3 linked regions of the Callithrix jacchus genome follow. The protein of the gene in region 1 purifies or fractionates together with the protein of each later gene. This does not show direct contact. Links are inferred from orthologs where the notes say so. Each region holds a gene or a part of one and is shown in the gene's direction. Other genes may lie near its edges.

Region 1 (4,196 bases):
CAAGCAAAGAAAAAAATCCCCCCCCAAAAAAACAAGAACAGAGAGGGGGAAACAGAATCAAATGCAGACCCTAACATTTTAACTTTCTTAAATGTTTTTCTTCCATACTTTCCTATGGTTCAGACTTTAAATAACTTTAAAAGTAAATTATGCTTTAAATAAATACATATCCTTTTTTTATTTGCTTCATTTTTCCTTCATAATAACTATCCTTCCCTCCCTGTTTTTGTCATCAAAGATACGTGGTTTTTTTTGTTTTTGTTTTTTAAAAAACATTTTTTTCTGCCCTGCTGACTACCTCTGGAAGCTTCTTGTTGACCTCTGGTTGGTTTTTTGGTTTCTTTCTTTTTTTGGCTTTTCACTTTTTAGGGTGTTGGCAGTGGTGAAGGAGAAGGGTCCTTCTGGCGGCCTGTTCATAAGCACTCCTCAACATGAGCATGATTAACTGAAATCACTGTTATGCCTACGGTGTAGACAAAATTAGCCATGTAGCTATTAACATGTCCGTGATTAAAAAAAAAACACTGAACTTTCTTTTTCTTATTGTCCTAGTACCTTGGAAATCCCCAGGAGACAGGTGTTTCCTCTTGGTCACTGACTCCCTGGGTGACTGATGCCCCTCGAACAGCAGGGCCACTGTGTTTCCCTTTGAAGCAAGTGATCCTTAAGGAATTTTCCAGGTTAGTAATTTCTGTCTAGCTCTGAAAAGACGTAATGGCTGCAAAAGTGCTTCGTCAAAGAAGATAAGACATATTCAGTTTTAATAAAAATACTTATGGGGAGAAAAATTGGGAGTGGAATGAATCAATTACAGTAAATCTATGGGCTCCAAGGGAGCAAATAATCTAGGCTGGTTGACCGTTAAATATTTCAAAAAAAAAATTTTTTTTCCCAGAAAGCCAAGGCAAATTCAAATAGGATTAATTTTTTTTTTTTAAGTTTTCAATCTTCTAATAATCCCGGGAGGGGGGGCAAGAGCAAGATTCTTGTCCCCGTTTTACAAATGAGGAAACTGAGGTTCAGAAAGCCTAAGTGGCATGCCTCTTCAGTAATCGGCCAATCGTCGTCGCCCTAACTTCACCTCACCTCCCCGTGCAGCACTAGGGTCCCCTCCGGGGTGGCAGTCTCGGGTCAGTCCAGCTTCCGCAGGCCGGGAAGTATTGCCCCCTCAGGCTGCACTTCCGCCTCCTGGGGGCCCGCGCGGCTCACCTCGCTCACCTCCCGCGCTACCCAAGTCACGAGTTTTCTTCGGGGGCCCGCCCCTCCACTTGCTGATTGGGTAGCTTCTGAACAATTACTGTCCTCTGATTGGTTGTTCTCTTTTCGGCTCTCCAACACTGCCTAGACCGACCGGATACACGGGTAGGGCTTCCGCTTCCCCCTTCTCCCTCCTCCCGCTTGTCCTCCTCAGCCAGTCGCCACCACAGCGGTGGCTGCCGGGCGTGGTGTCGGTGGGTTGGTTGGTTGTCTCTCACCGTTGGTGTCCGTTCCGTTGAATTGCCCGCCATGACTGAGCTGGATCCGTTCGGCGCCCCTGCCGGCGCCCCTGGCGGTCCCGCGCTGGGGAACGGAGTGGCCGGCGCCGGCGAGGAAGACCCGGCCGCGGCCTTCTTGGCGCAGCAGGAGAGCGAGATTGCGGGCATCGAGAACGACGAGGCCTTCGCCATCCTGGACGGCGGCGCCCCCGGGCCCCAGCCGCACGGCGAGCCGCCGGGAGGTCCGGGTAAGAATGCGGGCGCGTTTGGGGCGAGAAGACTTGTCTGGAAACTCGGCCCAAAGTGGGCCCGAGAGCTTCTGTGTGACCCGTGTTCCTTACTGAATTAGGAGGTTACGCAGCAGTGCAAAGAGGAAATGAGACCCTGGCCCAGTCATGCAGAAACCTAGGCTGGAGAAGCCTGTTCGGTTCTCAGTTGTGAGTGCTTCTGGGCGCGGGTGGAGCGAGAAAGCAAGTATAGAGTGGCAGATGCCGGAGCCGGAAGAAGCCCGTTCATTTCAGCAACTTTTCATTAAGCACTTGCTGTGCCTTTAGTCCGGTCTCTAAATCAACCGCATTGGCGCAGTTTGTCCGGACTTTAAACAAGTCTGAGCCGAGCACGGAACTCCAGTTATTAGAAAAACAGGGCAGAAAAAAAATAAGAATGGAAATACCGTTTTTGAGAGATGCAAAAAAAGTAGCGTTGCAGTTCAACATTCAAGCTCTTCAGGTGAACATAATTTTGGATTACGAGAAGCGAGCATTGAGTAGGGAACTCAGGAAAGATGGTCTGGGTCTGGAGAAAGAAAGAACTGCCAAGCGGGGAAGGAGTTTACTATCGTTGAGCGATTGATTTACACCCAGGACTTCTGGAGCTCTTCCTCTGGGAACAGCTTTGGTAGGTAGTATTTATTGTCCAAGCAGAACCCAAGATTAGCCTAAACCAATCAGGGATGGATGAAGAGGTGAATAGAGAATGTTCTCAGCCAAACGCAAGTAAAAACGGGCAGGTAGGATGACAGTTTGACCTTTGGATGCCTTACCTGTGTGTGATGCTTAGGATCATGAGTGGAAAAGACCTATTTAATTACAGAGAAGTAGGAAATTTAGCCAGAAGAAATGAGATATGGCTTTTCATCCACTTAAAAAATTCCAACTAAGGGAGAATAGGGCACTACTGGGGCACTTAGGAGTAGTGTCCATACTACCCCAAATTCAAACCTTAAGGGGCTAGGTGGGTAACAGACACGAGAGAAGCTGGCTTGACATGAGACAGTAGAAGTGTTGGAGAAAAGGCATTTAGACCCAGCAGTCTCAAGTTACTATGCCAGCCAAGCAGAAACTTTTGAGGGATGTGGGGGGGGGGGGGTGCTGCTAGTTTGCAGTCTCTGAGTTTTTGACGGCACCGTGTTGCTTCCTAAGTAAATCAGTCCCCCAATAAGAACTTAAGGGGAATATGTAATATGCCTGAATATGCAACTTATAGCAAGTAGTTGAGCTGAACTGGGCTGTGATTGCAAGAGGAAGTTGGCCTTAAGTGATTAGATTAGGAGATATTTTTTCATTGGGTGGTCTTTAACATTTGTCTGGGAATTTTAAAGTTGACTTCTTAGATCCTCTGTGCACCTTCCTCATTTAGTACAAGAGAAACTGAATCCTAGAGAGAAGTGACTTGCTTAAAAAATCACGAGTTAATAGCTGAGCCCCAAGTCTACCCACTCTTAGAATGTACCACGTTCAGTTGCAGTGTTTAGTTGTTTCAGCAGGGGTGTGGTGTGATAAGAGGCATTTGTGGCTGTCCCACGTAGAACAGATTTCGAAGAAGCAGGACCCGAGATCTATAGTTGGAAGATTGTCCTGATTCAAGGACAGTGTTACTCTTACTGTTTGATCCCCACTACCTAGCAGTGTGTCTGGCATGTAGTAGATGCTCACGTTTGACAAAGAAATGGGCAGAAATGTCAGATCCAATGGTCCTATGTAGAACTGACAGATCTTGGTGACGGGCAGTTAGGAAAAGTAAAAGGGAGAGAACAGATTTGGATACTTAGGTCCTTTGTGTATCTAGGCTTCAGCAAAAGGAAGGAAAGAAATGGTTGCTGACTTAGCTCCTAGGAGGGACTTTCTCAGTGAACTAAGCATTTGTTGACTTAAAGCCAGATTCCTGACAGTGTAATTGAGGTTGGTAATGTGCAATGGTCAGCATTTCCTTTGGGGATTACAGAATTGGACACTTTTTCTCTCTTAGTTTTCTTTTTCCCTTTTTTTTTTGAAGATATGGTCTAGTGGTTAAGATTCTATGCTATCCTAAGCTGCTTGAGTGTGAGTTTCGCTTTGTGATTTCAGAAAATGCATGTAACTGCCACCAGTCTGGCCTCAGTTTTCTCCTTTGTAAAAGTTGCATAATACAATTTATAATGCTATGTGACATCTTTAGGATTACATTAAAAAGTGTCTATAAAGTGCTTACAGTTATATAGTAAGAATCCAGTGAATTCCAGCTACTGTTAGTGAGAGAAAGGTACAAGGCATTTAGGCTTTGAAGTGTACTGAAGAAATTTAGAGGTTTTAGGTGGGAGCTGTCTTTCTGATGTTATACAGAGATAAATAGACAGTCGCCTGTAACAGATTGATGAAAGGAAAATAAACCAGCCCTAGCCTTGTGGAAAACTCCCACGGAGGATGGGCACAGGCAAAAACCAGAGGGGTTAGGTCTGAGCTT
Region 2 (3,500 bases), on another chromosome or scaffold:
AAGAAATAACTCCTTTCTACTGTCTTATTTTTTTCTGAGAACAGTTGTAAAGCAGGTGTGTTGATGTTATTTACTAAAATAATCTTAAATACAAGAAAACTCAAAAAACAGTCATTTAAGATTGTAACATGAATCTTTCCTGTCATCTGGTCCCTCATTCGTTACCTGCTCATAAATCACTGAAAAAGAAATATTGATGAATTCTATTTTCAAAAGAGCAAAAGGTAACAGAAGATCCCAAGGTTGTCTTTAGTATGCTTTACATAAAGAATACATCCTCATTTTAAATTCTAACTGGGCCAGAGAGCTGGGTAGAATTTCCACTTGAGAACTTTCCAGAGAGATAGGATCTTCAGATTCTCAAGTGAACATTTAAGATAATTTCATGTCTTAAACCTGTATGTCTGAATTACTGCCCCTTTCCATTATAGAGCTGGTGAACAGATTCTTGAACAGTCACTTTCAACAGTATAGACAGAAGCACAATAACCACGTGAGGGAACATAAAAATATGACCATTATATCTCAGGCTACTGACACAAATAATAATATAGATATTTATTATGGTTTTATCTCCTTTTTACTGTACTCAAAAGGTGCCTTAGGAATTTAGAGGACAGGATAGTTTTGATAAAAGTAAAGTGGGTTCTTAGAGATGGGAGCAAGATGTTTGACATGTTATTTAAGATAGGAAACAATTCAAATCCTTACAGGCGAAAGAGATAGGCAACACAGTAGGAACAAGAAATGGTGGGTGTAATACATGGGGGTTAACTGCTGAATTTGGCTTGCCTTCAGGGTATTTTCATGGGTAGTTAAAAATTGGGTTGGAATTTCAAGTAGATGTCAGTATCAAGATTAGGGATGACTTTTTAAAAACTGGTTTCCAAAAATAATTTGTTTGCTACAGACAGCTTTGGTTGTTATCCACAAAAAGGAAAGACGTGAAGTCCCTTGTGTTAGGAGAAATCTTGATCTAGGTTTTTACACTGTAGTAGGAGGTTAAGAATACTTACTTTGTAGGGGTAGAGAGAGATATTACTTGTTTTTTGCTCTCTAAGCCAGGTCCTCTACAGGTCATGTTTTCTGCATATGGTCAACAACTATTTAAACTTCTTAAGAAAGAAAGAAAGAGTGTCAACATATTATTCGATAGAGGGTGTATGTTCTAATGTATTTCATACCTAAAGAATATCTGAATGTGCTCCCCCCTACCCCTGGAGTCACCCAAGCTGGAGGGCAGTGGTGCAATCTCAGCTCCTGCAACCTCCGTCTCCCAGGTTCAAGCGATTCTTCTGCTTCAGCCTCCTGAGTAGCTGGGATTACAGGCCCATGCCACCATGCCTGGTCATGGGGGTTTTTTTTTTTTTGTATTTTTTAGTTAGAGACAGGGTTTCACCACATTGGCCAGGCTGGTCCGCCCTCCTTGGCCTCCCAGAGTGATGGATTACAGGTGTGAGCCACTGCGCCCATCCTGAATGTGTCTTATTTTTAATTGCTGTCTCTAAATTAGTACTGAAACTTCTAGAAATAATTTGTTTCATTGCCATTTAGACATGTTAAAATCAAAAATCTAACTCTAAAAGTTCAGTTTTGTTAAAAACGTCAGATAAGCCAAGCATGGTGGCTCATGCCTATAATCCTAGCACTTTGGGAGGCCAAGGTGGGCTGATAATTAGGCCAGGAGTTTGAGACCAGCCTGGCCAATGTGGCAAAAAACCCATTTCTATTAAAAATACAAAAATTAGCTGGGCATAGTGGTGCATACCTGTAATCCCAGCTACTTGAGAGGCTGAGGCACGAGAATTGCTTGAACCCAGGCGGCAGAGGTTGCAGTGAGTTGAGACTGCACCACTACACTCCATCCTGGGCAAGAGGGAAAGATTCTGTCTTTAAAAGAAAAAAAAATTCATTTAATAAACTTAAGTTTTCTTGTGCTGATTTTATTGTGTCATGAAATATAATGTGCATGTTAGGTATGTGTCAAGCATAGAGCATCAGGCATGTTGTGTTCAGGCATAAGTAGTTCTGGCCTTTGGCCCTGCGCTGTTTATTGGCCTTTTAGGTAGGAACTTTGAGTAAGCCTGTCATGCCAAAATTGTGACAATTTGTCACAATGCCAAATGTGACCCCCATACAACTCATCTGAATTCGAGGTTGAGATTATGTTGCTAGAGTGAAGGAGATTGCAGTGTTTTAAATGCTAACAATTTGTCCTGCCTCCTTGCCCCTGCCCTCTGCTCTGTTTGTTTTCTTCTACTTTAGGTCAGCCCCAGTTGATGCTGACAGCAGGACCCAGTGTTGCCGTCCCTCCCCAGGCACCTTTTGGTTATGGTTATACTGCACCACCGTATGGACAGCCACAGCCTGGCTTCGGGTACAGCATGTGAGATGAAAAGCTGATCCTGTAGCCACCTATTTTCGTACTGAAACATCGTCTCTACCCACTTCTGTTTATAATGGGGGAAACAGGCAACGTGTTCTTGTAACCTTTATTTCATGAAGGACTCCTTTTTTGTTTCTAACTATAAACTTTGGATCACCTATGTTAAAACCTTATTTCACATTCCACATCATTTTAGAATTTATTTTCGGAGGGGAATAGTTTCAATGTTTTATTCACTTGGGGTTTTTTTCTTCCCCCTCATTCTTTAAAAGAACTGCTTAATATTCAGTCTGTTGTGAAGAACCCGATTTGCACTCTGTAGTGTTTAAAGAAACAAAGAAACTCTAATATTGAATCTCTTAAATTTAGTGTATGTAAACAGCTTACAAATATGTATTGTCTAAATGCATTTAAATCTGTTTTATTCAGAGAAAAGCTAAAGCAAAAATACTGGCAAGACTGTCAGTGCCAACAAAGACAACACTAATCAATCAGCATATCCTACATTGGATTGCAGTGCTCTCCAGATAATTTGAAAAATGTTACAGACAACTTGCCTGATTTTTAAATGAGCATAAAAGGCCCTCTAACCTATGCAGGTTTCCCCATTATGCATATAGAAAATGCTAGTATGTTTTGCTCACTTCATATGTAACAGGTGCCCTTATGTTGTGCTGTATCCTGTGCTTTTTCTGTGGGACCATTCCATTCAGGAGCAAAGAGCACCATGATTCCAATCTTGTGTGTGTTTACTAACCCTTCCCTGAGGTTTCTGTATGTTGGATATTGTGGTGTTTTAGATCACTGAGTGTACAGAAGAGAGAAATTCAAACAAAATATTGCTGTTCTTCAGTTTTGTTTGTGGAATTTGAAATTACTCAAATTTAAAATAAATTACTGGACTGTGGAAATAACATAGAATTGAAGTTTTAATTACCACTCAAACCAAAAGAATAGTAGTTTTTATAGTTTTAGATTGGATACTAAGGCATTACAGGGAAGCATGAAAGGAAGAGGAATGAGAAGACATTGTGAATTCTATCAATGTGCATTCCTGTAGTTCATTAATAAGGTATATGCAATAGTCTAAAGAACCAGTCACTACTATAGTGGG
Region 3 (3,500 bases), about 68 Mb from region 1:
GGATTGTTCTGAGGAAGTGATTAAACACTTAATCATGGCAGTGACAGGACAGTTCTCTACTGATGAGTTGGTGGCTGAAGTAGAAAAAAGAAATAGGTAAGGTGTCCTTACTTGTTTTCTCTTGCTTCTGGATTCTAGTATCTGTTGTTGTTTCTTTCTAATTCTCCAGGACTGTCTCCACAGTTGGTCATTCCTGTACACATCTTAGATGTAGCAATGAGTTACTTGCTCTTGGCACTGTGAAGACCTTGGGGGAAAACCTAACAGTAGAAATCAGTTTGGAAACCACGTCCATCTTGGTCCCTAGAGCAACCTGAAGTTAATGGACTCAGAGACTTTTTGTTTCAGGAAACAACTGTCAGAGCCCTGGAGTTGCTCTCAAGATTTCCAGTGGTAACCTCAAGACTTTACAGCAGCTTCCTTCTTTCAAAGGCTCAAGCTCCTGCTTCCCTGGCTGGAGTCCCGGATTCAGGAAGGCTGTGAGGAGCCTGCCACTCACAATGCACTGGCTAAAATCTACATCGACAGCAACAACAGCCCTGAGTGCTTCCTGAGAGAGAACGCCTATTATGACAGCAGCGTGGTGGGTCGCTACTGTGAGAAGCGAGACCCCCATCTGGCCTGTGTCGCCTATGAGCGGGGGCAGTGTGACCTTGAGCTCATCAAGGTGGGTAGCAGATGTGCTGGGCTGCCTGTTTAGCCCTGGCCTCCCAGGGAACCTTTCAAAGCTGTCCCTGTGGGGAGTAGATCAGGGCTTTCTGTGCACCTGGAGATGGCGGGTCATAAGATGTATTTCCTTGTGATTCTCACAGCTTTTGGGGACTTGCTCATACAATTTGTATGCATCATACCTGTAGACCAGTTGGCCCTGAACCTGACTCATCACCCCTCTACTGACAGTCCTTAGTGTTGCCTGGTAATTTGAGGGCAACATAGAACTCCCTGGCTGACTCATGAGCTCCTCTGTGGAATGCCACCTTCTCCCGACTCCCCAGCTTGATCAGCCCCTCCTCTTGCCACCCTACCCGAGGGGCCTGCAGTTCCTTGGGTGCTTCCCATCTCAAGTGCCCTTGTGCTTCATGCCCCCCTTTTGGGGTAGTCCTCTACACAAGCCCTTCCCCATCCCCTGACCAATGAGCTCTTGCTGGCCCCTCCTCGAAACATCTGCCCAGGTCCTTTGCCTGTGTCTGCCCAGGCTTGGATCCACATGTTTGTAATTACATGTTTAGGTTAAATTGTATGAGCTTTTCCTACCTAACCATTTGATCTAAAAATCCAGACATGAACAGGGCACCTGTGAGGTTGATGCCACACCAGCCTGCTTGGGCCTTTGCCGTGAAACACAGGCAGCCTGTGCTGCATCCACAGACACATGTGCAAGCCGCAGCCTTGTGCCTGGCATCTGGCACTCAACAGATCCCATCCTCCCTAAGATTTAGCAAGTGCTGCTCATGCTAGAACATTCCAGTGGACTCTTGCTGTTTTGGAGATTTGTTATAACATTCAGAAAAGGGTCTCCAGACACTGCAAGGCTTGAAATGTTGCAGTGTCTGCGCTGTTTTATACCAGTTCTAGACTGTTCTGATAACATTTTGGAGATGGTTTAGAGCTAGCTACATATGAGTACTTAAATTGAAGTAAATTAAAAATTACCAATTTAGTTTCTGTCACACACCACATTTCAAACGCTCAGTAGCCTCCCGTGGCAAGCAGTCGCTATATCACACAGAGTGGGAGACAGAGCATGTCCCTGATTGCAGGTGGTTCAACTGACCAGAGATGTGTCACACCCCTGGGAGTTGTTGTAAACTTGGAAAGGGCATTTTGAGGTAGTTTGAGTGCATTGTAACCCTGCAGGATGCTGCTCATCCTGTGTCAAAGCACAGCGTCTTGCCTGGGCCCGACTGCCCACCAAGCCAGTATCAGGCACACAGGGAACAAATTGGGGTGTGTCCTCCCAAGCAGCTTCCATTGGTTAACTGCTGTGTTACACACGAGTGTGCTCATTTCAGGTTTGCAATGAGAATTCTCTGTTCAAAAGCGAGGCCCGCTACCTGGTACGCAGAAAGGATCCAGAGCTCTGGGCTCACATCCTTGAGGAGACCAATCCATCCAGGAGACAGCTGATTGACCAGGTGAGGCACAGAAATGGCTATGTGTGTGCACCTGCATTTTGCCGTCTAGTCATTGTTGTGGCTCAAGTGACTGGTTTCATTTTTCATTTAAAACATCTTGGCTAGGTGCAGTGGCTCATGCCTGTAATTCTAGAAATCTGGGAGGTCAAGGCGGGTAGATCACTTGAAGTCTCAGGAATTTGAGACCAGCCTGGCCAACATGGTGAAACACCATCTCTACTAAAAATACAAAAATTACCCAGGTGTGGTGGCACACGCCTGTAATCTCAGCTACTCAGGAGGCTGAGGTGGGAGAATTTTTTTGAACCTGGGAGGCAGAGGTTGCAGTGAGCCAACATCATGCCACTGCACTCCAGCCTCAGCGACAGAGAGAGACTCCATCTCAAAAAAATAAATAGTCCAAGTGTGGTGACATACCTGTAATCTTCGCACTTTGAGAGGCCAAGGCAGGTGGATCACTTGAGGTCAGGAGTTCAAGACCAGCCTGGCCAACATCGTGAAACCCCATCTCAACTAAAAATACAAAAATTAGCGTGTGCCACCACGCCTGTAATCCCAGTAACTCAGGAGGCAGAGGCAGAAGAATCTGGTTAAACCCAGGAGGTGGAGGTTGCAGTAAGCTGAGATTGCATACCACCACACTCCAGCCTGGGTAACTGAGCGACACTCTGACTCTAAAAAATAAAAAATAACATCTTAGCCCTTATGAACCTTCTCCCCTGCAGAAGTAGCTTGCCTAAAAATAGCCTGATTCCCCAGGGTCAGCTGACTTGGAGTCACTTACTGGCCAAGGGCATAGAATTGCCCTTGAATCCAAAGCAGGATGTGCAGCCCCGGGAAGAGAGTACCTGGTGGCACGCCTGCATGCTGGGTCCTTGATTGTTTCTCCAGCTCAGCCTCTGTGGACAGAGGTTAAGTAGCTTTCTTGCTGACTAACTCTTTATGCCCCTGTGACTGTCCAGCACCTCCCTGGACACAGGGCAGAGTAGTGGGGCCAGGGCAGGTGGAAGTCTGCCTCAGCCTCTGGACAGGCTCCCACAGCCCTGTGGAAGAGCCTACCCTCCCATCACAGCCTCACAGACATACGCAGATAGTGCCTCAGCACTGTCCCTAGGTGCTGGGCATACTGTTTAAGGGTGGGCCAAGACAATTGTTGGAACAAAACCCTCACCCAACAAGTGGCTTCAGCCCTGAGCATAGGACCAGTTAAAACTCCTACCTCCCTCATCCATAGTGCCAACCTGCTGGACCATGCTTTCAGCTTAAGGGCTGGATTTGACCTTTATCTCTATGAGTTTTATCTTCTGGTTTTCTGACCAGTGTTTCCTCAAGTCTGTGCCACTATTTTTTTAAATAAATTTTTGT

Evidence for each region.
Region 2: the proteins of CLTA (region 1) and CLTC purify together in Homo sapiens (co-immunoprecipitation; 6 studies listed by BioGRID and IntAct, with this or other methods). This does not show direct contact. The link is inferred for Callithrix jacchus from reciprocal best matches to the Homo sapiens genes CLTA and CLTC.
Region 3: the proteins of CLTA (region 1) and CLTCL1 purify together in Homo sapiens (co-immunoprecipitation; 3 studies listed by BioGRID and IntAct, with this or other methods). This does not show direct contact. The link is inferred for Callithrix jacchus from reciprocal best matches to the Homo sapiens genes CLTA and CLTCL1.

Annotation. Positions count from the first base shown.
Region 1 is NC_133502.1:143,113,980-143,118,175, forward strand, and holds the start of CLTA (clathrin light chain A), read left to right. Parts: upstream 1-1,396; 5' UTR 1,397-1,506; coding exon 1,507-1,723; intron 1,724-4,196. UniProt on the Homo sapiens protein: Clathrin is the major protein of the polyhedral coat of coated pits and vesicles.
Region 2 is NC_133506.1:94,269,249-94,272,748, forward strand, and holds the end of CLTC (clathrin heavy chain 1), read left to right. Parts: intron 1-2,265; coding exon 2,266-2,390; 3' UTR 2,391-3,300; downstream 3,301-3,500. UniProt on the Homo sapiens protein: Clathrin is the major protein of the polyhedral coat of coated pits and vesicles. Two different adapter protein complexes link the clathrin lattice either to the plasma membrane or to the trans-Golgi network.
Region 3 is NC_133502.1:210,864,360-210,867,859, reverse strand, and holds part of CLTCL1 (clathrin heavy chain 2), read left to right. Parts: coding exon 1-96; intron 97-432; coding exon 433-667; intron 668-2,012; coding exon 2,013-2,135; intron 2,136-3,500. UniProt on the Homo sapiens protein: Clathrin is the major protein of the polyhedral coat of coated pits and vesicles. Two different adapter protein complexes link the clathrin lattice either to the plasma membrane or to the trans-Golgi network.